Linked DNA regions of Mytilus edulis. The protein of the gene in region 1 purifies or fractionates together with the protein of each later gene. This does not show direct contact. Links are inferred from orthologs where the notes say so. Each region holds a gene or a part of one and is shown on either strand. Other genes may lie near its edges. The genes, in order: TAR DNA-binding protein 43-like and cyclin-F-like.

Evidence for each region.
Region 2: the proteins of TAR DNA-binding protein 43-like (region 1) and cyclin-F-like purify together in Homo sapiens (affinity purification with western blotting; 3 studies listed by BioGRID, with this or other methods). This does not show direct contact. The link is inferred for Mytilus edulis from reciprocal best matches to the Homo sapiens genes TARDBP and CCNF.

What each region holds. Positions count from the first base shown.
Region 1 is NC_092356.1:48,442,542-48,455,483, reverse strand, and holds the start of TAR DNA-binding protein 43-like, read left to right. Parts: upstream 1-6,931; 5' UTR 6,932-7,086; coding exon 7,087-7,324; intron 7,325-9,481; coding exon 9,482-9,678; intron 9,679-11,503; coding exon 11,504-11,644; intron 11,645-12,942. Other genes in the region: uncharacterized protein, read left to right, coding at 4,690-5,097. UniProt on the Homo sapiens protein: RNA-binding protein that is involved in various steps of RNA biogenesis and processing.
Region 2 is NC_092352.1:40,406,117-40,419,688, reverse strand, and holds the start of cyclin-F-like, read left to right. Parts: upstream 1-8,598; 5' UTR 8,599-8,730; coding exon 8,731-8,755; intron 8,756-8,983; coding exon 8,984-9,153; intron 9,154-9,428; coding exon 9,429-9,535; intron 9,536-9,836; coding exon 9,837-9,904; intron 9,905-10,487; coding exon 10,488-10,678; intron 10,679-11,125; coding exon 11,126-11,281; intron 11,282-11,545; coding exon 11,546-11,775; intron 11,776-12,095; coding exon 12,096-12,260; intron 12,261-12,545; coding exon 12,546-12,850; intron 12,851-13,077; coding exon 13,078-13,165; intron 13,166-13,405; coding exon 13,406-13,505; intron 13,506-13,572. UniProt on the Homo sapiens protein: Substrate recognition component of a SCF (SKP1-CUL1-F-box protein) E3 ubiquitin-protein ligase complex which mediates the ubiquitination and subsequent proteasomal degradation of target proteins.

The DNA.
Region 1 (12,942 bases):
TGTTTTTGGTGAACTTTTGTTAACGACTTCCTTTGTTTCTATGAACATTAATGAAAAACTTATTTTTTTAAATATTAGCCATACTCGAAAACTAGCCAAATACATTGTACAGGCATATTCTAATAGACGAAATTTTGTTTACAAATAGCTTAATATCTATATATTTTTATTTTAAAATTAATTAAAGGTTAACTTTCGTCAACAAAAAGATAATTTCATGAATTATAATTTGTTATTTTGAAGAACGTGATATATTGTTTTAAAATTACTTAATTTCATTTGAGGTGACTTACAGGTCCATTGGGCCGGGTGTATTAATATTTATCATATATTGTATATTTATAATCTGTACATATTTACACATGTCACTATAATAAATAATTTACTTACTTACTTACTTACTTACTTACTTACTCTATTTATTTTAAACAACATTTTAATTTGGTTTGTGCTAATTAGATAAATTTCCAAATGTATAATTATCTTTTATCATATATATTGCCCTACAGCTATACACAATAGAGTTGATAATTGCAATAAAAACAAACCTTAATTGATCTCCTACCTGTCAATTCAAAGTTGACAAAAATCACAATATTTACAAAAGATTATAATTCAGGGTTAATGAAAAATATCACTTGAATATAACAATAACTATCAAATGTATTTATGTACATCTTTAAATTGTGAATATATGTACAATATCTTGTATTAGGGTCAGAGACATATATGTTTCTGCTAAGGCTAATGATGACTTTTCAACACTGCGAGAGCTTAGTTTTTACTGAATTATACAAATCAATTAACATGCTTAAAGAAGACAAAACTATTTCAACATGTTAAATAATCATTTAATTTGAATACCTACAAGGTTAATTTATCAAACACAGTTTTAGATTTTTTGCATTGTAATCAGAATGTAATCAAAAAGTAATCAGGATTACAGGGTATTTTGAAAAGTAATTGATTAAATTAAATTACATGTAATCAGATTTAGGGCTGATTAATGATTACAATGATTACTTGAAAAATTGTAATCAATAACAGCTGATTAATGATTACAATTACAATTACCCCAACTCTGTTATGATTATGCTATTGTTGACCTCTCAAATTTACTTAAAGTTAAAGTGCAGAAAGGTCACCAAAAGGTCAAATTTAAAAAAAAAATGCAAAAATTCAGTATTTCAAAGTTTTCCCAGGAATAGCGAGGATATTTATTTCAAATTTTGTCTTTTAACTATTTTTTTTAGCTTTATTTACAAAATATGAAGAAGAAAAAAATGTCTCCATGAATTTTATTCATCTTTCAACGTGCAGACAGATGTACTTCTATGTTAAATCTTGCATGCCCATTATTTTGTATCAATTCGCGTTGTTTTCCTTTTTTGTTCCTCTTAATTATGTCCCAGTCACACTAAACCACGATCGCACCACGTTCACCGCGATCAAAAATAAATTCAGATCGTAGTGAGGTCGCGGTATGAGCGGCATGAAAATGTAGATTTTCGTTGTTTTCACGATGCTACTTCGTCCTCATTACGCTTCTTCAACGAGCCCGATACGATTATACCCCGTTCTACATGTTCTAACCATGTTCATTCTGCGACCTCACTACGATTATCACGATCTTACTACGCTCATCACGTTCTCACAGCGACCATACCACGATTTATCCGATTATAACATGATCTTACCACGCTTCTTCTGCGATTATATTACGCTCTTACCACGATCATTCTACGATCTTACCACGTTCATACCGCGATCCAACTACGCTATTAGCAATATGTTCCATATAAATACTGTTCCATTCCTTCCAATTGTCATTAATACGTAAAATTATTGAAAACCACACGAGCATGCCACCAACATCTACAAGGAGTAGTGGGCGTGGTGGTAGGGGTAGTGGTGGAGTCAAAGGGGCCTCTCATACGAACCATGATCCAATAGAGATGTCGGATCAACCAATCGAGACCTGAATCACAACGTATTGCTGATCCATCATTCAAGATCAAATGACGATATTGTATTGAACATTAGTGGGAATGATACAGATGTGTCAAGAATGATTGAATGAGCTGTTGAAAATTAGAGACATAAGGTCCAAATTACATAACAGACAAACAAAACATGGATAGCTGTTATATAGTTTAAGTGAAAATGACTATGAGCATGGCTAGAACTGGAAACGTTCGTAGTATGAACGTAGTCAGGTCGTAAGACGAGCATTGCGGATGAGGACGGCATGAGCGTGCTAAAACCGTACTATGGTCTTGAACAGCGTAGTATATACGTGGTATAGTCGTAGTAGTAGTATATGCGTGGTATAGTCGTAGTAGTAGAAGCGTTGTTGGGTCGCGGGGAGAACTTGATGGTCGTATTGAGGTCGTCGTCACATCGCTGTGAGATCGTAGCGCAATCATCTCTCTGATTAGAATCGCGCTTTCGCTACGCTCCCATCACGATGGTACAGCGACCATTGCGATCTTACTACCACCTTACTGCGCTCTCGCTACGCTTCTACTACAACCCGATTTCACCACGATTGTTTTGAACATGTTCAAAGTTGGCCACGATCATCACGATCATAAAGAGGATAAAGACCTCACCATGACCGTAACACGACCTTACTGCGATCTACATTATCGCACTACGATCGTCAAAATTTGCATTTTTTAGAGATCGTAGTGCGATCGTGGCTAAAGCTAGGTTCTCATTGGCAATCATACCACATCTTCTTTTTTTATATTTACAAATTTATATCTATATGACACTACTGGTCTAACGTCAAAGTACTCAAGTGCATCGAGTACACTTATTGCACCTAGTCAACAAAAAATAGCTGCGGAAATCCTACATTTGTCTAACAGTTCAGTTCAGTTCAGTTGCTTGTATATTCCTTCATTAATTGTGGAGCACTACCCAAAAGGTATAGTTTTAGCAACTATGTACACCTTAAAACATAAGGAAACATTTAATTATATACAGATGACTGAATTTGGTTATAATAATCACTAAATAATAAATATCATAATTAATTCATAGGGTTGTCATCATAAAGTTTAAAAAAAATATATTAAATTCATATGTGCTGGGGTGTAAGAAAACGTTAAGTAACAACTGCATATATTTACAAATAAGAATTAAAATGGTCTCGTATTAAACTTACTTATAATTATTAGTTAAGAGTGCTATACATATATCAGGATCTATAATGAAAATGTCATTTTATAAGATTTATGTAAAATGGTTGGGGTTTGGAAAAAATTAAAGCTATAATATATACATAAATTTTCTTCCCAGTTTGATTTACTATATGGAGATCTTATCATTATTTTTGAAATTATAACTGATATCTTGCAATTTTTAAAAAGAGAAGATATATTTTTAAATACTTATAAGTCATAATTTATTTATCCAAATAAAGCTTCAGGACCAGACAATCTAAAACCAAGAATACTAAAAGAACTTGCAACCGAGATAGCCCAAATTCTAACTATCATCTTTACAACATCACTTTAATACTGGGGAGGTACCATCTGACTGGAAGAACGCCAACGTAAGTCCAGTCTTCAAGAAAGGAGAGAGATACAAGGCAGAGAATTATCGACCAATATCTCTGACATGCATCTGCTATAAACTCATGGAACACATAATAACTAGTCATATTATGAAACATGCAGATATCCACAACATTCTTTATCCATTACAACACGGATTTCGTAGCAAAAGATCATGCGAAACCAAGCTGATTGAATTTGTGGATGACATCACAAAAAACATGAGCGCATGAAAGCAAACGGATGTTCTCATTATGGACTTTTCGAAAGCCTTTGATAAGGTTGGTCACAGTCTCCTGATGCATTAGCTGGAACACTATGGTATCCGAGGAAATGTAAATAAGTGGATCACTAGTTTCCTGTCTAATAGAACCCAAGTAGACAGTAGTTGTGGATGGAGAAAGTTCATCTCGTATTGATGTAGAGTCAGGAGTACCCCAAGGCTCAGTACTTGGGCCTTCATTATTCCTGGTCTACATTAACGACATGGCAGATGGAATTAAATCTACAGTCCGACTATTTGCAGAAAACACAATAGCATACCTCACGATATCATCAGACAAAGATGCACATGATTTACAGCTAGATCTGGACAAACTTGGAACATGGGAATCAAAATGGAAAATGTCATTCCACCCTGACAAATGCAATGTACTTACCATCAGCAGGAAAAACAACACAATTGCAACTTCATACAGCCTACATGGTCAAATTATTGAGTCAGTCAGTAGTGCAAAATACCTAGGCTGCACATTTACCATGTTTACATCCGATCTCAGATGGAATGAACATGTGAATAACATTTGAAACAAGGCAAATCATGCCAAGAAATCCTCGCTAAAAATTCCGGTCGACCCCCTACGGCAGTCATTAGTAGCTAAAGATTTGATTTCATTCAAGAAATTAATGTATAACCTTCATGTACGTGTCGCTAAGAACATGGCCATATACCAAATGGTCAAAATTAATCATCCATGTAATTTGCTCTATGGGGTGTTTGCAGAATTTCAACGGAGGCGCGAACAATTGGTTTCCTAAAAAGAAATTTAAATATAGGATCAACTACAGTGAAGGAGAATGCATATAAAACATTGGTACGTCCAATTGTAGAATATGCCAGTCCGGTATGGGATCCATATATCTCAAGACAGAGACTGACAGACTTGAGATGGTACAAAGAAGAGCAGCTCGCTACGTATCCAACAAACATCATAACCACTCCAGCGTTAATCTGATGCTACAACATCTCAAATGGACATCACTTGAACAAAGAAGGAAAGAAGCGAGACTCACAATGCTATTCAAAATAGAAAACAACAAAGTGGCCATATCAAAGGAAGGTCGTCTAATACCACTGAAAAGACTATCACGAAACATGCATGACAAATCCTTCCAAGTACCAGCAGCATCATGTGATTATAGGAAACACTCATTCTTCCGAAGAACCATCCGGGATTGGAACGCTCTTCCCCCTGGGGTCGTATCAGCTCCGTCAGTCGAGGCCTTTAAAGCCTCGATGACAAAGCTGAATTAAATTTCAAAATTTTTGGGGGAGGGGTGGTCTAATATGCGCACCAAACCATGGCAGTATAATCAGTTCGTTAAATGTGGCCATTATCTGACAGAAGCAGAAGCAGAAGCAGAAGTCATAAAATATTAAGATGATATACTATAAGTAAGGAACTATTTTATTTTAAAAAATTTACTTATACTGTACTTGTGATCAAGTTTTTTTTAATCCTTTTTGTGCGCAGCAAGTGCATCTCATAACACATATTTCTAGCCAGAGTTTCAATGTTTTCATAACAAGTTTTCTTTGAGAGAAACAGTTTGTATTTTTTATGATTTGACATTATGCATGTACACGTCTTTAACCATAGGTACATACATTTTTACATACATGTATATGTAAATATACACAAAATGTTCACAGTATATATGTACACTACAGTATCAACAGATGAAGCATTTACTGGAAAATGCGATGTTCACAAAGTCATCTTTTAAGAATGAGCAAATACAATATTTTCCAAGCATCTATTTCCAGAAAAATAAATATTAAGCCTGGACTAATGTCAAATTGTTCTAAATATATGAAGAAAAATGACAAAACATCTTTTATTCGATTTTAATTGGTGTGAATTTAAGCATGGATGCAATTTAGGTACTCTAGATCTTCGTCACAGAATCATTGATCGCTTATGTTGTAGGTCGATTCAAACTAGTTTTGCTACGATTCAATATCTCGAGTTCAATATATCATATCAGGAACATATAGATATACTGTTCCCAGATCATATATATATATTATTTTTACACCTTATACATTATGTATCAGTATTGTTAAAACTTGTGACACTTGAAGAAGGCCATTTGTTGAGCCGAAATATTTGTCAGCACGATTTAATAACAACATTTTCGTATTATAACATCTTATATCAGTACGGTTGTGCAAATCTTTAGACTGATATATATATATCATGTACTGTAGTACGCCGCTAGATTAAAACTGACGTGGAAAGGTAACACATGCCCACCGAAAGCTCTTTTTTTTGAGAGCCCAGGTGGTCGTGTGGTCTAGCGGGACGGCTGCAGTGCAGGCGATTTGGTGTCACGATATCACAGTAGCATGGGTTCGAATCCCGGCGAGGGAAGAACCAAAAATTTGCGAAAGCAAATTTACAGATCTAACATTGTTGGGTTGATGTTTAGACGAGTTGTATATATATATATATATATAGATTCAAAATTTAAACATGTTATTAAAATGGTGACTGGTGTAATATAAAGTAAATAAGGATATGTCTACCAAATAATAATAATAATAAAAAATCAGATTGGAAACTTTTTTGTGGACTTTAAATAAAAAAATGTAGGTGCAAAAATGTCAAAATAAGGTGCAATTTGAGTACCCTAATGTAATCTAGTATCATAAAGAGTTCAATGAGGTTTTACATTTAAACTCTGTAAAATCAATTAAGTACTAATTAAATAGCAAATAACTTATATCTCAATGAAAAGACTTATATGCAAGAAAAATTAAAATCGACTGTCCAATAAGAAATTAAAACAGGACGCAAACCAAAAGAATTTGTATTGGATATGCGCATGTTTATGCCATACCCTCCCCCTATTCACTGATTTGCAAGAACAAAGCATTACTGTCAATATCTTTTATGTTATTAAAAATGTTAACCACAAATTGTCAACATCTGCACTAATCAAGTATTCATTAAAAGATCTGAAAGTCACAGATTGAGAAGGAATCTTTAGATAGAACTATAGAAAAATTTCTAAAAGATTCCAGCGACAACCGATTGAAGATAAAAGAACGACAACTCTAAAATGAAAATTAAATTTTTTAGGTCACTAAAAGATGGCGCTAGTATCGCTTAAATTGTCAACAGAAGACGCCATCTTGGTACGCCGCGCACCTTCAGTTCGGGACCACAGTGGGTTACCCCAAAATTAGAGACATTTTTGATTCTCAATGCTCCGAAAGTGTGTCTAATTTATAAGGGAAATGAGTCAGTATATTCAAGTCGCAGAGGAGGAGGGCGAAGAGCCTATGGAAGTCCCGAGCGAAGACGACGGAACTCTCTTGCTGTCTACCCTGTCAGCTCAGTTTCCTGGTGCCTGTGGTTTAAAATACAGAAATCCCGATACCGGTGCTATGCGAGGCATAAGACTTTCAGACGGGAGATTATATCCACCTGATACGGAATGGGCAAACCGGATTTATGTTGCCGTGTTTCCTAAATGTAAGTGTTTTCAAATATTGTTTACAAACTGGAACCCAGTTGGCCTCCGAACATCAAGCAGACGCTTCGACAAAATCATTTAATTTTTCGAATTTTTCACAGAATTTTGATTAGTTAAGTATGCAGTATGATGCAGTAATCATTATTGTACATAACTGCATAGGTATTTTTGGCTACAGTATCAATTTATATGCTACTTTTAATAAAATATTGAAGGTCGTTGAAAACTTTGTGTTTGACAGCTAAGGGAGATAACCGTATTGTTGACGTTTTGCTTTTAAATATTTCAGTCTATATCTCTGTGGGATTTTTGTTTCTGGTCTATTTATTTATTCAATATTTTGATATGAATACTTCCTGAGCTAACTTAGTATAAAGGTGACTCCAGAATCCCTTATTTTAGTTAAGCTTTAAAATCATAACATGACAACATAACATCATGAACATATTGAAGACACTTAAAAAAGTAATTTAAGAAGTAAAAAGTTACACACTCATGTAAATGTTGAAATATCTGTATTTAATTTAGGTTAAAGGCAGATATTTAGTGTTAACATGTACATGTAGCTGCTTCTTAGAAGTGTACACTTTTACATCATAATTTCTTGACAGTTTATTCATCATTATTTAAACACTGCAAAAGTTGCTTTCAATACACACAAGGTCACTGGTGCATACCATGTATACATTTATATTTTAATAATTTATATTCAGGTATGAAGGTGGATATTAGAGTGGGTCTCATTGGGGTCTAAGCGTGACCCGGGATTGCCGATTTTTTGTAAGCGTGACACGTGAAAGTCAAATAATTGTGGCGTGAAAACGGGAAATTAGGTCTTGCGGGACACGGGAAATGACAAAAAAATGAGAATTGCTTATGTACATAGTGTAAGCGGGATACGGGAATCTGACAAAACAGTAAGCGGGATCCGGGATCGGAACCCCCCAATGAGACCCCCATTAGACTGCAGATTATTATATCAGAAATGTGTCTTGACCATGTTGACTGCCACTAGTTATTATAGATTATATTTTATAATTATTATTATATACTACATGTACAATGTACATAACAAATGTATAATAAATTTTAATACTGTTTTGTGGGTTCGAGATGTTGAATTTTCAGTACATTAGTAGGGTGATTTTTACCCTCCCACACACATCTCTGGTATCCATTCCAGACCGGAGTTTAAACTAGATTGGATACTTGGGGGGGGGGGGCCTCGGTAGGTCAAAGTTGTTCCCAGCTTGACCTGGAGATCAATCTTCTGAAATCTCTTCAGGTTGTCTGTTGCTGCAGAGAAGCCCTGTGGTTCTCTCCAAATACTTCAGCTTCCTCCACCATAATAACAGACTTTTAGGTGACCTACAAGCTCCCTTGGGTGGTGTTGGGGTGGAGATTGTTCTGGTGGTGGGTTAATAATGTAATCTAAAAGGACACATCTCCATTAATCCTTAGGGAGTGTACATGGATCCGCTGTACCCTTGTAGTCATTCAAGGGGTGCGTCTACACTGGCGGAATCTCGAAGTACATATATACATGTACATGTTATTACCAGATAATTAGAGATATGATTATAGTAGAAAAAGATTTAAAGAATATGATACACATGTATATTAACATGATTTATATAAACAACATTTCAGTGTATATGTTTCGAATATGTTACAAAAACAATGTAGCTTATAGTTTTGTCATATTTTAACATGTGTAAGGTGATAAAAGCATTGATCCTCATTTTATTATTATACAAAAGTCTTGTTATTTGTAAAAATCTAATCACTGTTCAAATTTTGCATTTTCCTGAAAAACTAAGATGTCTCCACAGTCTTTACACCTAACCACTGGCCCAGCAGCCTAGGCTTGTTAAGTTGCATTTGGGTCTTTAAAAATGATCTCTGACTACAGGCCAACTAAACCGATATAAAGTTTTAAAAAGATTGAACTTTGAAGTGTTTGACATGACTGAGATCAATGCAGAGACTCAGAGGTTACTGTATTTTTCTGCCATGTCAATTCTCTGTGACATGGCCGGGATTATTATGCTCTATGTACAATGTATGCAAATAGTAACTGCAACACTTTTCATAGATATCTGTAGGGGTAATGTTTCAAGGTAAAATTGCAAGTAAATATTTTCATGTATTTTCAGCTGAAAACAAAAAGAAACCTCATGCAACAGCTGTGGACCAGGAACCAATCAATGCAGACAATGCTGTCATTAACAGGAAGAAAATGTATGACAAAAAGAGATGCAGTGACCTTATTGTCCTAGGATTACCATGGAAAAGTACAGAAGAAGACCTGAGAAAATATTTTTCAAATTTTGGGGAACTGTTAATGGTCCAGGTTTGTACATTAAGTGTTTAAAACTTATATTCAGAACAGAATACTAGTTAGGTTTTCCTGTCAATTATAAACAATTATCTTAATGTATATTACATGTATGATTGCAGCTTTTTGTGTCTAGCAAGTGAATGAATGATGTGATGGAGAACATTTTTTGTTAAATGAATCGTAAATTAAAGGACCAATTGATGACAGCATCGAGAACAAACACAGCTGATCTCAAGCATTTAATCCTTATATTTGTACATGTACATGTCGCAAATATGAAATTACAAATTAAACCAATCTGCAGGTTTCACTTTGCATACTAACAAATGTATACATTTGTAGATCTTCTAAAATAATCAAGTGTAAAAGTTTAAGGTAGCACAATACAAAGATTTTATAACTCCAACTCCCAAGTTTCAAAATGCTGTAACTTTCTTAATAATGCTTGAAAATTTATAAAAGTGGTAGTTTTGGATAGCTAACAGATTACTCTTTCAAATTAATGCAATGTTAGTATCATGCAACAATTATGTAACCAATTATAATGTTAACTGTGTCTTAAATATTTTTCACCAAATTTCCACTTTCAAATGAAATTAGCTTCTGCATAGGTATCCCTAGAGGGTTGATTTTATTATATGTTGTTCCTATGGCCATTATCTACAAAAGGGTGTCTCAGATTTCAGATAGAATGTATAGAACAAATTTTACACCTACTTAAACATTATCTTCATTTATGTGGTTAGGATGTTTACACTAATTAGAGATTTATGAGAGAATGGAATACCATAGAGACAATCTGAGACACCCTTTTGAAGCCCATGATGTGTTGATTAAGATTTCGTTAAAATTTTCTGTATAGTTAAAGAGATGATAGAGCTAAATTCATTCAAGTGAACTTACCCAGATTTTGCCACTAATTACATAATAATTGATGACATAATGATTGCATAATAAAAATATTGCATTCATTTAAAAGATTAATCTTTTATCTATCTATGTATACCTCTTTTATTATTTTCTATGCATTCATAAGAAAGTTACAGCATTTCAAAGGTTAGTGATTGGAAGTAAAAAAATCTTTGTATTGTGCTACCTTAATTCAGGATAAAATAATATACAGATATATACATTGTATGTCATGTACATGTATGTTTATTGTCTGAAAATATTAAAAATTGTACACTAGCTACATTGTATAAAACAACAGAAACGCTTGGAGAGCTTTGTTTTTCGTTCCGTTCCTTGTATATTTACATGCTAGTAGGACAAACTTTACTATATTTGATAAATAACATGTTCTGTATAGATTTTATTATTTAATTATATTATTACCGGTATGAGCATAATGAGAGATTATACTTGTGTTTATGATATCAAAACATTAAAAAGCATGAACAAGTTATTCCGTGAAAGTTAAGTTTTGTAGTACATGTATCATAGTATGTACACATGAATACCATTATTGACTTGTCTAGTAAAACATCTTTTTGGTTATGTCAAAAAGTTTGATGCAGTTGAGTTCATTTCCACAATGATAAAGCTTCTTTGAACAAGGGAGATAATAGAGTTATTGTAACAAGGGAGATAACTCTTGATCTTTCTGTGTTTTTAAAGCATTAGAAATCTGTCATATATTCCTCTTCAGGCGGCAGACAGCAAAAAACTTACACTGTATAACGGTACTTAAATTTCCAAAATATTTAGACATTTATGTGTATGTGGAACATAACAGATGCAAATAATGTGTAAGCTTCCCCCTAAAACAGAAATCAAAATTCATTATATATTTTACAATTCATTGTATTAATCTATCTATATTTTATTTTCAATTCAGGTGAAGAAAGATCCTAAAAGTGGACTATCTAAAGGTTTTGGTTTCATTCGGTTTGGCGACTATGAATCCCAAGTTAAATGTATGACACAGAGGCACATGATTGATGGAAGATGGTGTGATGTTAGAATACCAAACTCTAAGGTAACACATACATGCACTGACACTGGTGTGATGTTAGAATACCAAACTCTAAGGTAACACATACATGCACTGACACTGGTGTGATGTTACATGTAGAATACCAAACTCTAAGGTAACACATACATGCACTGACACTGGTGTGATGTTAGAATACCAAACTGTAAGGTAACACATACATGCACTGACACTGGTGTGATGTTAGAATACCAAACTCCAAGGTAACACATACATGCACTTACACTGGTGTGATGGTTCTGTGCTTATTTCTAGGAATGATAAAGTTTAATAATGGCATGCTGTGAGTTAAATATGTGGAAATGTATATCTAAATACTGGTGTTTTAATCAAGATATATTTAATCAACAAATATTAATTCTATTGAAATTGGTCACGTCTATTTCAGTTGGTTTTGTTTGATAACTTGATAACTATATCTAAGTAACCATCTGTAACAAAATCCAAACTAAGAATTCAACATAAATAATGTATCAATAAAGCATTTAGAACTTTATTTGTTTACTTGTAGTGTTCATATAAAAAAAAAAAGGAAAAACTTGATTGCGTCAAGAAATTTCCTACTTTGTATTAATTTGGAAAATCTTTATTATCTCCCTTTAACAACATGTAAGAAAAAAATGCTACTATCATATAAAATTTATTCAATGTAGATTTTCATTTGAAATTTGAAAAATTAAAGGACTGTGCTTACATTGCACATCAGAAGTCTTCTTGCGAAAAGTTATCTGACTTATTTCATCTGCAAATACTATTCGGAAGACAGCAAATTTTGAGCACTTTTTGTAAGAATTTTAAAGTCCAAGGTACAATGTAGAACCAAAACAATTAGAGAATCTGATTCCTGATAGGTTTTGTGAAAAATAGTTTATTGCAGAGTACTCTGATAATAAAATGCATTCATATTAGCCTGATTAGATAAATTAATAGTCATGATATTATTAAGAAAGAATGGCCAACACTAGTAGCATGAAAATAACACAGGATTCATCTTTTACATGCATATGACAGTTGCTGAACTGAGATAGCTACACTTTAATGAAAAACGTTGTTTTCAAGCTAGTGATTTTAAATCTATTTATAATGACACTAAATGCAACAAATCTTCTGGGAAGGGGAGGTAATATTTTTTTTTTTAAATATTGGTATTTAAAATGTAGATGATTTTGTTAAGGGTTCATTTAGGGCAAACTGTTGTTGTTATGATACTATTTTGATTTGATTTGTCTGTTTGCTGTTCACTTTGTGAAAGTTGTTGTGTTTTATTTCTAAAGTAAGAAGTC
Region 2 (13,572 bases), on another chromosome or scaffold:
TTGGATAGCCTGTCCTATGATGGAAAACCAAAAATTGATCCGAACTCATATCGGAAAAAAACTATTACATGTACAGTAGGAAAAGTTGTTGAGAAAGCTCATTTATTTCAAAATAAAAACTCTGTAGCTAAAAACCAAAATAAACTACAAAAAGTATTTACCTCCGGAGAAATGCCTATTATTGCTGCTTTAATTTTAACTGAACTTATAATCCAAGCAATAAAGACAAAATCACCACTATATGTGGCTTTAATGGATGCAAGGAAAGCTTTTGACATTCTTTGGCATACGTTGGCCTGATGAGAGAAATGCACAAGTTTGGTTACACCGGGGACAATTGGTTAATCTTTAAAAGATGGTATGAAAATCTTAAATCAAAAATTAAATTTAAATGGTTGCTTTCAAATTCAATAGAGGAACAACAAGGTGTAAGACAAGGCCGCGCGATATCTGGACAGCCTATAAGATTTTTATAATTCACTTTTACAAACTTTTTAAAGAAATCAATTAGGAGCATGTATATATATAGCATTGAACAAGCGTATTACTACTGCAAGGAAAACTGTATACTCTCTCGTGGGTACGGGGTTACACGGTTTGAATAGAGTCAATCCAAAAGTTTCTGTACACTTGATACAAATATATGTTATACCTAGACTTCTATACGGTTTAGATGTCATATCGCTCTCAAATACAGATATAAAAAAGATGGAATTATTCTTTAGACAATTATTAAAGCAAATTCAGCACTTTCCTAAACGTACAACAATAGCTGCAACTTTACTATTATTAGGGCGTATTCCTATAGAGGGAGAAATTCATTAGAAAATTCTCAAAGCATTTGGAAATATAATTAGAAATGATAAGTCCGTTGAAAGAGAAATTGCTTTTAGACAATAGACAAATGTTGGCATGATACGGGTTATATTCCTCCCATATATGTTATGATGCCTCTAACGAGATGGGTTGTATTTGATATCCATATGATGTCGAAGACATAATCTTTCAATCAGTTTAATTGAGGTTTGGAGCTGGCATGTCAGTAACTGCTAGTAGTCCTTTGTTAATTTATGTATCATTGTCATTTTGTTTAGATTCTTTTGTTATATATTCTGACATCGGACTCGGACCTCTTTTGAGCTGAGTTTTCAAGTACTGTGCGTGTTGTTGTGTGTTTGTTTTTTTCTACATTGGCCAGAGGTCACAGAGGAGGGTTGAAATCTCAAAAACATGTTTAACCCCGCCGCATTTTTGCGCCTGACCCAAGTCAGGAGCCTTTGGCCTTTGTTAGTCTATGATCTATGATTTTTATGATTTTTTATATTATAGTTTCTTGTGTATATTTCGGAATTTAGTATGAGACTAGACGTCCATTATCACTGAACTAGTATACATTTTTGTGTAGGTTCTTAACTGGCCACCCGCTGATTGATACTTCGGCACAATAGACAAGATTGAAACAACAGCAGGGTCCAGTTTATTTAGGTTCCAGCTTAAGCACGCCTCCGGTTGCGGGAGTTTTTCGCTGCATTGAAGACCAATTGGTGGCCTTCGGCTGTTGTTTGCTCTTTGGTCTGGTTGTTATCTCTTTGACACATTCCCCATTTCCAAAAAAAGAAGAGAATAATGGGATAAAAATATAAAGAAGAATAGAGAAAAGTGGCATAAAAATAGAGAATACAGAAATTAAGGACCCTATCCCTCGTGTATACTTTGTCTCTATTTTTTTAATGTCACTTCAAAACAATAAAATGTGAAGTCCATTTATGATTGGTATTTAAAAAAGCATATGTAAACAGGCACTTGTCTTCGACAAAATGAAGATATGTATGTTCGCTGGTTCACTGTCCTTTTGGTTAAAATTGCGACAAGCTATAACTATATATATATCTTTATTCTCAATAAAACATATACATAGATATAGAGAAGACAGTCAAATACTCAATTATGTACAATATTTACCACAAGACAGAACAAACAAAACAGTTGCTAATTAAGACAATATATAAACTTTTATATGTTTTGGAGTTCTTTTGTCATGACAATTGTTTTAAAATCAGACCTTAACCCATTCAGTAATATATGGTCAGATATATTTCTATGAGTTTTAACAACTTTGATAAATTAAGTCCCTCTTGATGAATTTGTAATATTGTAAGGTGTAAATATATATATATATATAACAAACGTTGCTATTCTTTGAATCTTTCTTTGAAAACAGATCATGCAATTCGTCAAAATTAGTTAAAAAGTGACATACTTAATTCTGACATGGTGTCCTAAATGGAAAGGGGATGACTCGGCAGTCTTTTGTTTTGACAATTCCACGACATAACATGAACAATATTGCTTTTAATCATTTCAACATGTTTCAGGATTTTGCGAATTGTCGCCTATAAATTTCTCAATCTTTAAGATAGATGTTCAGCATGGGAAGGTATTATTGTCCAACCTGCTGAAATTACTGATGATATGGTTGGGACTGCTGCTGTTGGTGCAGATGTTATCGAAACTGCTGATGTAGATGTAGCTGGAACGGTTGTTGCTGCTGCTGTCCCAACTGTTACTGCTGTCGTTGTAGTTGATACAGCTTTGGCTGAAAGGTGAGACGGTGTCTGTAAAGGAGGCAGCGGGAGTGTATTAACTGCCAACGGAGTACCAGTATTTGAAAGAGATGGTGGCGCTGGTCCAGTTGTTGTTGGTCCTTTTGAATTAACCAGCAAGGTGTGCGGAATTTTCGATCGATCAACTTTTGTTGGCTGTAAAGTTCTCGACACAACAGGCGGTCAACTGGTTGTTGATTGGTATACAGATCCAGTTGGTTGGTAAAAAACAGACTGAAAGTTAATTTGCGGTGGAACTGTCCACGGTTCCTGCACACACGGTATAGTTGTATCCTCGATTTCAGGTGGCTTTTGTTGAAATTTTAGGTTAACGATCTGGCCTTCAGGTAAAATGTTCAACTGATAAAATGCTGTATCTTTTTTTATGCTGTACCTCCTTACTGTAATTCAGAGGTGTAAAAATTTTTCCAGGCTTTGTTGATGTTCCTGTCACTTTAAACATCCTCACACTGTTCTATTGTGACAACTATTATCGTAGCGTGAAACTCTAGCTATCGTATTGACTTATACCATGCACAATAAAGGAGGAAGCAAACTCACAATCAATTGAAGAAAGGCTGGAATCAGCAACAGGAAAATCTAGAATACAATAGGTGTTGAAATATTGAAATTTTGTTGATATGTTTGTAATATAGCATGGTCTGCTTATTGTTCTTTTCTCTCATCTCTCTACCCAACTATAATTTGTAGTAATGATATTGATACCACTCAACGTTTAATAAAAGTGTCCAACCTAGTTTGAGATTTTTATCAATTATTTTGTCACAAAAAGAAGAAACACAAAAATACTGAACTCCTTGAAAATTCAAAAAGGAAAGTCCCAAATCAATGGCAAAATCAATAGCTCTTTTACATCAAACGAATGGATAACAACTGTCATATTCCTGACTTGGTACAGGCATTTTCTTATGTAGAAAATGGTGGATTGAACCTGGTTTTAAAGTAGCTAAACCTCTCACTTCTATGACAATCGCATCAAATTCCATTACAATAGAGTACAGCTTGTTTTCTGTCTCTTGGGAACTTTTGGATCCAAATTCATGTGTTAATAGACTGTGTTCAACACTTTATCAAATGCTTTGCTGAAATCTATCTGCGTGTTGATAAAGTTTTTATCAAATTTCAGGTCTTTTGTTTGATCAGAGACATATAATATCTTTAAACGTCACGGTATCTTGTTTTATGTTGATTCAAAAATGCTCCTTGCTAGTGCCTTAAAGTTTGTGATCGATCTGTTGTGTTGTTACTATACTCTCTATATATTTCCAGTAAGCTCGTCGCAGTTTCTCAACGTGTCTTTTTTTCTGTGGTGGTGATATGCAAGTAAGAATGCTGAGACAGGGAACATTATAATAGTATCCTTATGAATAATGAAGGTTCACCTGTTTTCCTGTATCAGTAAAATAATATAGAAGCCTTTAGATAATTTCCTTGCTTCGAATAAAATAAGTGAAAAAAAATCCAAGGAATGGAATATACCATATGAAAACCATGTGTAGATATAAGTTTTGTTAATACTAAGACCTTAATTCTGAACTAATGAAGTCAACCGATTAGTCAAGTCAAGGATTTGTATAGTAAACAATACTATACAAATCCTTGGTCAAGTAGACATTTATCTATCTGTGCTCTGCGTTCAAGTCATAAGAACAAATTAGAGTTATCGCTCTTGGTACAAATACTGTCAATTCTAAATCAAACACAAATAACCAATATACGCATGTAACTTGAACAAAATTAAATGTTTTTAAAATGTGTGACTTCATGACAACATGCTTACTCCTTATAAGCATTTAATAATTGTTCTTAAAAATGAAGACACCTAATAATTCATAAAAAACCGTACATGTAAAATACAATACATTTATATCGTTTGCTATTATGAAAAAGAAGATGTGGTATGATTGCCAACGAGACTACTCATTCAAAAAGATCAAATGACACAGAAATTATCAACTACAGGTCACTGTACGGCCTTGAACAATGAGCAAAGCCTATACCGCATAGTATTTCAGAAAGGGTCCAGCAATGAAAAATGACAAAAACAATTCAAACGAGAAAACTAAGGGCCTAATTAATGTACAAAAAATGAACGAAAAACAAATATGCAACATAGCAACAAACGACAATCACTGAATTACAGGCTCCTTCTTTTGAATGGTTATTCAGTATTTATACATCTCACGTCTTTAGTGCCTGGCGTTCGTTCTAGACGTTATGCATTTTACAAACAAAAAATGCAAATAAAAAACATACTGCTTCTTCTTTCCGAAATTTTTAAAATGAAGTGTACTAGTTTAAGTAAAGTTATATTATCAACTAAAAAATATTAACTGTAATATTTTATCTCATTTATGCCTTGTCTCTTTTTTCTTTAACCCACCATGTTTGTCTCCTGGAAGCCTGCTACTTTCCTATGCAAACGGTCGTAATTTAATTCCGGACGGTTAAAGTTATAGACTTGAAAATTGTGGATATCTGCTGCTACTCCCCTAAGCACAGACGGCACTAAGAGCAAAGACGTGTCTGATCGCAGGGTCAGAACTGTGTGTCTGGGCAGAGTAATAAGATGTCTTCCTGTGAACTTCACCTATAGTTACTTATAGCACGTTAAACACAGAGTCATGGTCGCCATGTCGGTTATGTACAAAGCGGGGTTCATATCTATGTCACATTACTATAAGATGTTCTCGATCTGATATATATAAGTAATCGGTTTTTAAAAGTGTATTGTTTAAACCTATTTAGTATACCGATTACAATTAAGCGTTGTCTTGACTTAAAGCAGTGTCTTGGTTTGTCCGAGATAACTCGCCATTGCAAGACGATCATCGATGTATTCTTTAATTTAATATTTTGAAGCTTTCAAAAGACAACAAGGATATTGTTGTTAGTTGTACCGTTACAACCCCTTTTCTTCATATCTTACATGTCATTAAATTGATAGTGACTATTTAAACTGTGAAGAACATAGTCAATGATTGATAGTTTATCTTAAGGGTATGTCCTTGTTCTTATCATTTAATCCATGATAATCATTTTGACATGGTTTTATTTTTAAAGTGATTATAAATATTATTACTTTAAATTATGATTATGTATGTCAGTGTCATTATGATGTGTTAAAACAACAAATCCGTAAAAAAAAAACATGTGACGAAAAATTGCTGTAAATTTTTTTTATATATATTTTTTTTTATTGTTTATAAAAACTTTTAGTAAGGCATTTTTATAACCCACTTTCTAATGTCTGTTTTATACTATATTTGTTTGTATTGCTGTATCTTTTATTGTCGAGTGATCCTTGACCAAATTTAATCTTTGATATTATAATAATCAAATTACAATGGCACGCGTGTCATCATCATGAGTCGAATGCAATTAACAAGTCTGATAAACTCAATAAATGGTGATGATGTTAATTGTGATAATTAACAACTAAACTGACATATTGGTTTATTATATTCTTTATTACATACTCAGCTATATAATATGTTTTTTCGGAGATGTGCTAAATATGTGACCATTATATTAGTATGACAGTCCAAGGACAGTCTATTGCGAAATAGTGTGAAATGACCAAATTATTGTAAAATTCGTGAAGATAAGTGTTGCATTAACCATTTTTATAAATCTTGGACGCCAATAAATATAGTTACGTATTGTCAAAATTATAGTTTCAATTGACGATATGCACAAAGAGATCTAAATTTTTGAACAAAATAAATTGAATTTTAACAGCTAGTGAAAACAAAAGAACTTCAACGTTCAATTTCATTAATGCAATTACTATTAAACTGATCATCAAATTAATGAACTAACTGATCTCACTGCATGCACATATTGATATAATTAACCTGGCCAATGGTCAACAAATCAATTAATTACACTGATGTAGTGTGAAAATCTCTGCAGTGTCCACGACAGGATCAGACACGGCACAGTATGGCCGTAATCACCAATTAATCTTTTCCTTTGAAGTAGACCAACATAGTCCTGAACCCAATTCACTCAATTTGATGATGATTCAAGTACTATATTCAATACATCTTATTCCTTATATATATATTAAATTTTAAAATTATTTTCATCATATTTCAAAGATCTTAACATCAGAATCAGATCACAAATAGAAGACAAACATGGGTAATTTATTTTCCAATCGTAAGTGTTTGGTTTGACACATTTATTTTTGCCGCTACCCGAAGGCAGTCGTTGATTGCTGTTAAAACATTATTTGATCATACATTTACAATATAGAATTACAGTTATTGAACTGACCCTAAGGGAAAGACGGATTTATACACGTTTCACACAAATGAAATCTGCTGACATATTATGTAATTATGGACAGTTACATATGTTCCGTTAAGACTGAAAATCCTTGGACTGACCAGTATATCTTCCGTTAACTTGCCACCAATAACATATGTCTAAATCTGCGTCCTTATATTTTAAATTCAACGATGAAAATAACAAACGAATTTTTATTTCAATATTAAAAATATATATATGACGTTATAAAGATAATAATTTCATTTTCACATAAATATCAGATATCTTCTAACTTGATGTAGCCCATTACGAATTTTCTTTGATTCTCAACAACAAGTAAATAATTGTTAATGTCTAAATTCTCTTCTTTTTTTAAATGACCCCCCTTAAATTGTAGTTTAAAAATTATCTGATTCCCGATTGTGACCTATTTAAAAAAATAATAAAGCATCTTTTCTTTATCACCATCAGGGATTTCAATGTCAATATACATTTTTCATATAAAGAATTAAATTCTTAGAACAAATTATGAGTAAATTGCAATAAAAAGATTTAATTCGACTGTATGCGATGAGGATGCTGTTGTGTACACACGTGTCCAATTTTTAAATATTTGAATGAACATCACAAAGGCGGGGAAAGCCCATTTCCTCTCGTTTGTAAACGAGTGTAACAATTTTGACCAATCAGCGTCGAGTATATTCGGATTGTTGGTGTTTAATTTTGACAAGATAGGGTGCATCACTTTTTCGGAGTTTAAACTTTTGGATAACGTATTTATGCCTAAATTTATGAAATTTATAGCAATTCAGAGTAATGAAAGGTAAGTTACATGTTCAATAAAAAATGCCATTTATAAAAATTAAAGAAAAGAAAGTGAAAGGTCATAACAGGGCAAATATTATGGGCGGTTTAAATTTTTGAAAGTTTGTCAATGGAAAGTAATAACAACATAAGAAAATAGATCTTTTTGGAAAAGAAGAGTTAAATGTGCTATTCAATAACGGTTTCTTCAAGGCGTGTTTCAAAAATTAATTTTGTTATAAACGATGTTACTGAAAATGCATCATAACATTTGAACTCTACAACTTTCACGATAAAAATAATAAAATCCATTTTTTTCGGGTAATGAAAATGTTTCTTCGTATCCATATAATGATATATAAAGATTTAAGTAATCACAATAGTCCATCAAAGACGAGTGCATTCTGTTTACTCATCAAGCAGTCAAATGCAGGAAGGGTCCAGCTTGTGATCCAAATTTGAGTAGGCTTATCGTAAATTTAAATGGTAAACAAAGTGATTGACGGTCATTGTAACATACTTGACGTGCCATTTGCAAGAATATAGAATGTTAAGTGACGAAAACTTGTGAACTGACATCCACTGGCTCCAGTCCAGTCGAACTGTCGAAGACAAAATGATAAACATGTTTGATATTCATCGAACAATTTTATTGTTTTATTGATTTCTTGTTATCACATGTATCAAACACTTTTACCTATCTAATTATTAGTTGATAACAGGTGTATACGACGATGAATATGTTCAGACTTGTGCTAAATAAATTATGAATAGCATTCATTAGTGTCATTGAAACACGTTTATTTTCAAATCGCTCATTGGTTATCGACCTTTGCAAGTGCCGGCTTGTTTACATTGACAACCAATCAAAAGCGGGGACACCCTGCTTGTTACTAAAAATAAATGGTAGGTTCACGGTATCGATGTTTCAATGACAAAAATAAACTTTCAACATTCATGATAATTTTGCATAACTTATACTTGATGTGGATCTTATTTGAACTTTATCATAACTGACATTCCTTATATGAAAACCATGTTTGTAAAAATTCGTAAGTACTTTTATAATTCATAATCAAAATATAGCAACATTGTAAAATTATGAAAATGCATCAAATGTTTACTGTACATTTGTAATTCAAGTGCTAAAATTAAATTTTAAAGTTTTAGAATTCTATGAATGTTTATTTTTTACAGCAAAATCACTTAATACTTAAATTACATGCATGCATATTTCCCGTTGTAACCAATTTACATGTATGCTCATTATTTTTTTACAGTTCTAAATGCACTCAGCAAATTTCAAAAGTCTCCAAACACATTTATCCCAGTCCACATGCATCTTCGTCCAAGAACACGGAGTCAGATGACAATATGGAATTTACCTGAAGAACTTTTGCTGTATATTATTAAAGGATTACACATCAGAGATGTTCTTAATTTGAGAGCTGTAAGTAAAGTATATTTTTATAATATTGTGATTTAATTTTATGTACAACAACAAATAGTCTGCTTCATCTCAGATACATGTCACAAAACTTTAGTTAGTTAAGAGTTAGTTTAAATTTTCAAAATATTTTTATTATTTATTTTTCAATTTCATATCATTTTGTAAGAATGCATAGAATTTTGCTTACATTGACTCAATATTTATGTATTAATTCACATAAAACAAATAATAACAATTTAAGTAGTTCTGAAATAACTAGTGTTTTCTTTCCCCAGGTTCACCCATACTTTAAAGATTTAATAGAAAACAGTTCTGTGATCTGGAATTCCACAAGTTTTCAAGATGAATGGCCGTCACTGAAAAACATTCCACATTTTGAGAAGTAAGTATCATTGAACTAGTTTATAATTTGAGTACAAACACTGCATCAGCAACTGTCATGATGAAGACTTGCAATGCAATGAGTTATTTTTACACCTACACATGATGATGTTGTTTCATTCCCCTATACTCTGGTTGAAATGACAGAGTATGCATATGAATACACATTTCAAGATATATGTAACATAGATTAATAGAAAGAAATTTTGATGTTTCAAGTTCATAATTTAGTTTTATTCTATTAAAATTATTATGCTGTAGTGATTCACTGTATATATATTAAACCCTCGTTTCTTTTTCAGAGCTGGAGATTTGGGAAATCTTGAAGCATTGATCAAAATGGCCATTGCCTACCTCTATAATGAAGGATGTAAGTAGACCTTTTTATCACAAAGTTATTTATATATTTGTCCTTTTTGTTTACGCAGGACATGGGGTGTGAAATGAACATGTAAATTTGTCTTCCCTTTGTTGATTTTATATATAAAGGTGTTAATTTCTTCTGACAAAAACTTGTACAATGTATGACGTAAAATAGCAGGTTCATTTATATTTTTTTGTTATAACAAACAGAGTTTTGACAAAAGAAAATGAACAGATGAAAAGAAAATGTAACTTAAATCAATTAAACAAACAATTCATGATTAGATTAAAAAAGAAAAGCAATATGGTAGAGCTGTTTTTATGTACAAGCTATAATTAAGAAATATGCACATAGGGTTTGAAAAACTAAATAAATAAATATTATAGTTTAGGTTAAAGACAATCAACACATAATTTTTAGTTTTGCCTCATCTATTTCCTCTGACCAAAAATACCATACCGGTCTGTTCTGGTTTCTGAAACAATTCCAAATCAAGAAAACAAATTAATTTTTTTGTGTGCTAATAGTAAAAGATAATGAAATAATACTTTGAAAGCTTAATTATATATGATTTAATTTTTTGTTTCAGTACCTACCGATTTGGAAGGAAAGAAGACCATCAACAATGGAGAGAAGGCAGCAGATATATTTTGTAGAATTGAAGGACTAAGTCCAAACACAGATCCTTTTACATGGCTGTTTATACGACCGCCATGGTCTGTTAATGGTGCTTGCTGCAAAGAATGTGTCTTCAAATACATGAAAGATTTTATTAAAACGGTAAGGAATGATAATACCAGCAGCGCATTACTAAAAAAAAATCTTGCGACCAAAATTGACCAGAGGATTAACTGAAATTTTCATGACAATGGTCTGAGATGTTTACAGTTTCATGACATAAGGTTTAATTATTGTGAAACACCTTTCAAACCATTTTTAAGTATGGGGAAAAGTATGATGGACATTTTAAACATATAATCAGCTTGCTTTAATTTTGGAAAATCTGATTTTTTGCATTTTATTTTTCTTGAGTTAATGACACAAAAGGGGAAATAAGTCAAATATGAATGAATGTTGATTTACGATAATTGTCAATGAGGTAGTATCTTTCTACAAAATTATTGTTGTAAAACATTTATTTTATCAGCACTGAATGTGCCTTTTGAATATAAATCAAATGACACAATTGAATCAATAACCTTTAACATTGAATATTGATTATTTCAGACAAAAGACAAAAATATCCATGTATGTGTAGCTAGGACATTAATGTTACTGGAATCAGAAGATAAAACAGAGATATTCCAGTATCTGAAGGATGGCGCTGAACTTGGATCAGGCGTGGCAGCATTTATGTTCTGGCAACAGAAATATGATAAAATGGTAAATACAAACAAAGACTTAGAGAAATCAAAATGAACATTACTTCTTACAGTCCGTCAATTGAATTGTAAAATGATATTTATGCTGAAATATATTTCATTAAAAAAAATGAAAAAACTGTAAATGATCAGAATGAAAATCCCATGAACTTGATTTTGAGTTAATGATTTATTATCTCTTTTCAAAAGTTTTAAAAAGAATGCATACTTTTTTATTTATTATTTTTCTATGATGATTTTTATCTATCTTGATTTTAATTCATAGGTAATGGACAAAGGAACAGAATTAACAAGTATACGAGAACTGAGGGATTTGACTTCTTTAGGCTATCTTGAAGCTAAACTGACTCTCTGTAAATTCTACGCACATGGGAAATATGGAGGTTTATCTCAACACCAGGCAGCTATCTTTGTAAAAGATTTGGTACAGACAACATCACCAACAAACACACAAGACTGCTTTCAAACCTCACAGGAATTAACACAATCTATGAGGTAAGAATAATAATTCAGGAAATTTGGTTATTCTTGTTTTTAAATGTGATTATAATTGCTTGGTGTATGGTCTGTAAATTCATGAAATTAAAGCATCCAACACTGTATGAATAAAAAAAAAAAAAAAAAAATACTACATCATCACATCATAGTATCATTTAAACTGTATTTATCTTTAATGTAATTTTAAATTAGCGTATCAAAACAACAATATTAGAAATATAATATATTTATCCTAGAACTTGATTTTCACATTGAAATATAATATTCATGTATAAATTCCCTATTAACGTGTTTTTTTTTTCTTTCAATTATTTCAGATACATTCTTGTTGACTGGTTAGTAGAAGTAGCAGGGATGAAAGATTTCTCTAGTCATACACTCCATGTAGCCGTTAGTATGGTGGATAGATTTTTAAAAGTTCACAAAACATCTCGATCCAAACTGCAATTATTAGGTGTTGCTGCTATGCTTCTTTGTTCAAGGTGAGTAATATTTTTTAAGTCAATGCATAGAACATAAAAATGTTGTTTTTTGTGTCGTTCTAAGGAAGGTAACCATACATTTTGACGTCTTTGATGTTGCTGATGATAATATATAAACCTTCAATAGAAGTTGGTTAATTGACTTTCTAATTGAACAAGTTAAAATTGAAATAAAACAAACATGAATTGAAAATGATGTATTTTTTTATGGTTTCAATAATTTAAGGTCACAAAATAGAAAACCCCATTGATATATGAAATTAATGTTTAAATTTATTTTTTCAGATATTTAGGCAAAGACATTATCACAATTAGAGAGGCAGCATGGCTGACAGACAGTACATACAAATATGAAGATATTGTCAGAATGATGGGCGAGATAGCTGCTACCTTGAAGGGCAACATTAGGACAATCACTAGCATTGATTTAGTTGAGATATTCTGTATACTCTGTGATCTGGATAAGAAGTCATGTTACTTAGCTGAATACATCTGTGAACTTTGCCTTCTTCAGGCTGAGATGGGACAATATAGCCCTGCAGAGATTGCTGCAAGTTGTGTGTTGTTAGCTCGTGTCTTAATGAAGCATGGTATGTATTAACAAGATGCTTATGATTCATAAATACTTTGTTTGTTAATCCTAAGACATTTTTTTTTCAAATATAAATAAATCGAAATTTGAAGAAATGAGTGTGAGGAAGGGAAAACATCTATTAATTTTATTAGTATTTAAGACAGAGATCTGAAAAGTTGCAATTTATTTTAGAGTTATCTCCCTTATACTGTTATAAAAAGTTTATTATTTATTTATTTTCAGAAAATGCTTGGCCATCAAAGATGAGTTTATTTACAGGATATAAGATAGAAGATATAAGTAGATGTGCATTCCATCTTCATGAAAAGTGGTAAGTTTTATTTTTGCTATCAGAACTTTAATTTTTGTTTATGTTTTTTCTAGAAGATTGTCAATTTTTTTCAAAAAATATTTTGTGTTTAAAACTTTTGAATCCACAAATATATTGTACTTGAATTTAATAATGAAATCAAAACGTTATGCTTTGAAAGCATTGTCTGTGTAACTATAACATTATGTTAGTTGAAGATGGAGAAAAGTCATTGATATGCTCATTTTGTTACAATTTCAGCTTTTTGGAAGGATCAGTTGTGGATCATAGAGATGTCAAACTACAGTCTGTTAAACTTAGATATGCTGAAGAAAAGTTCTACAAAGTCAGTGAAATACAGGTAAGACTTGACTATCATGTGTTAGTTTATAATGTACTACGGGTTACACAGAATAAATATAGGTACG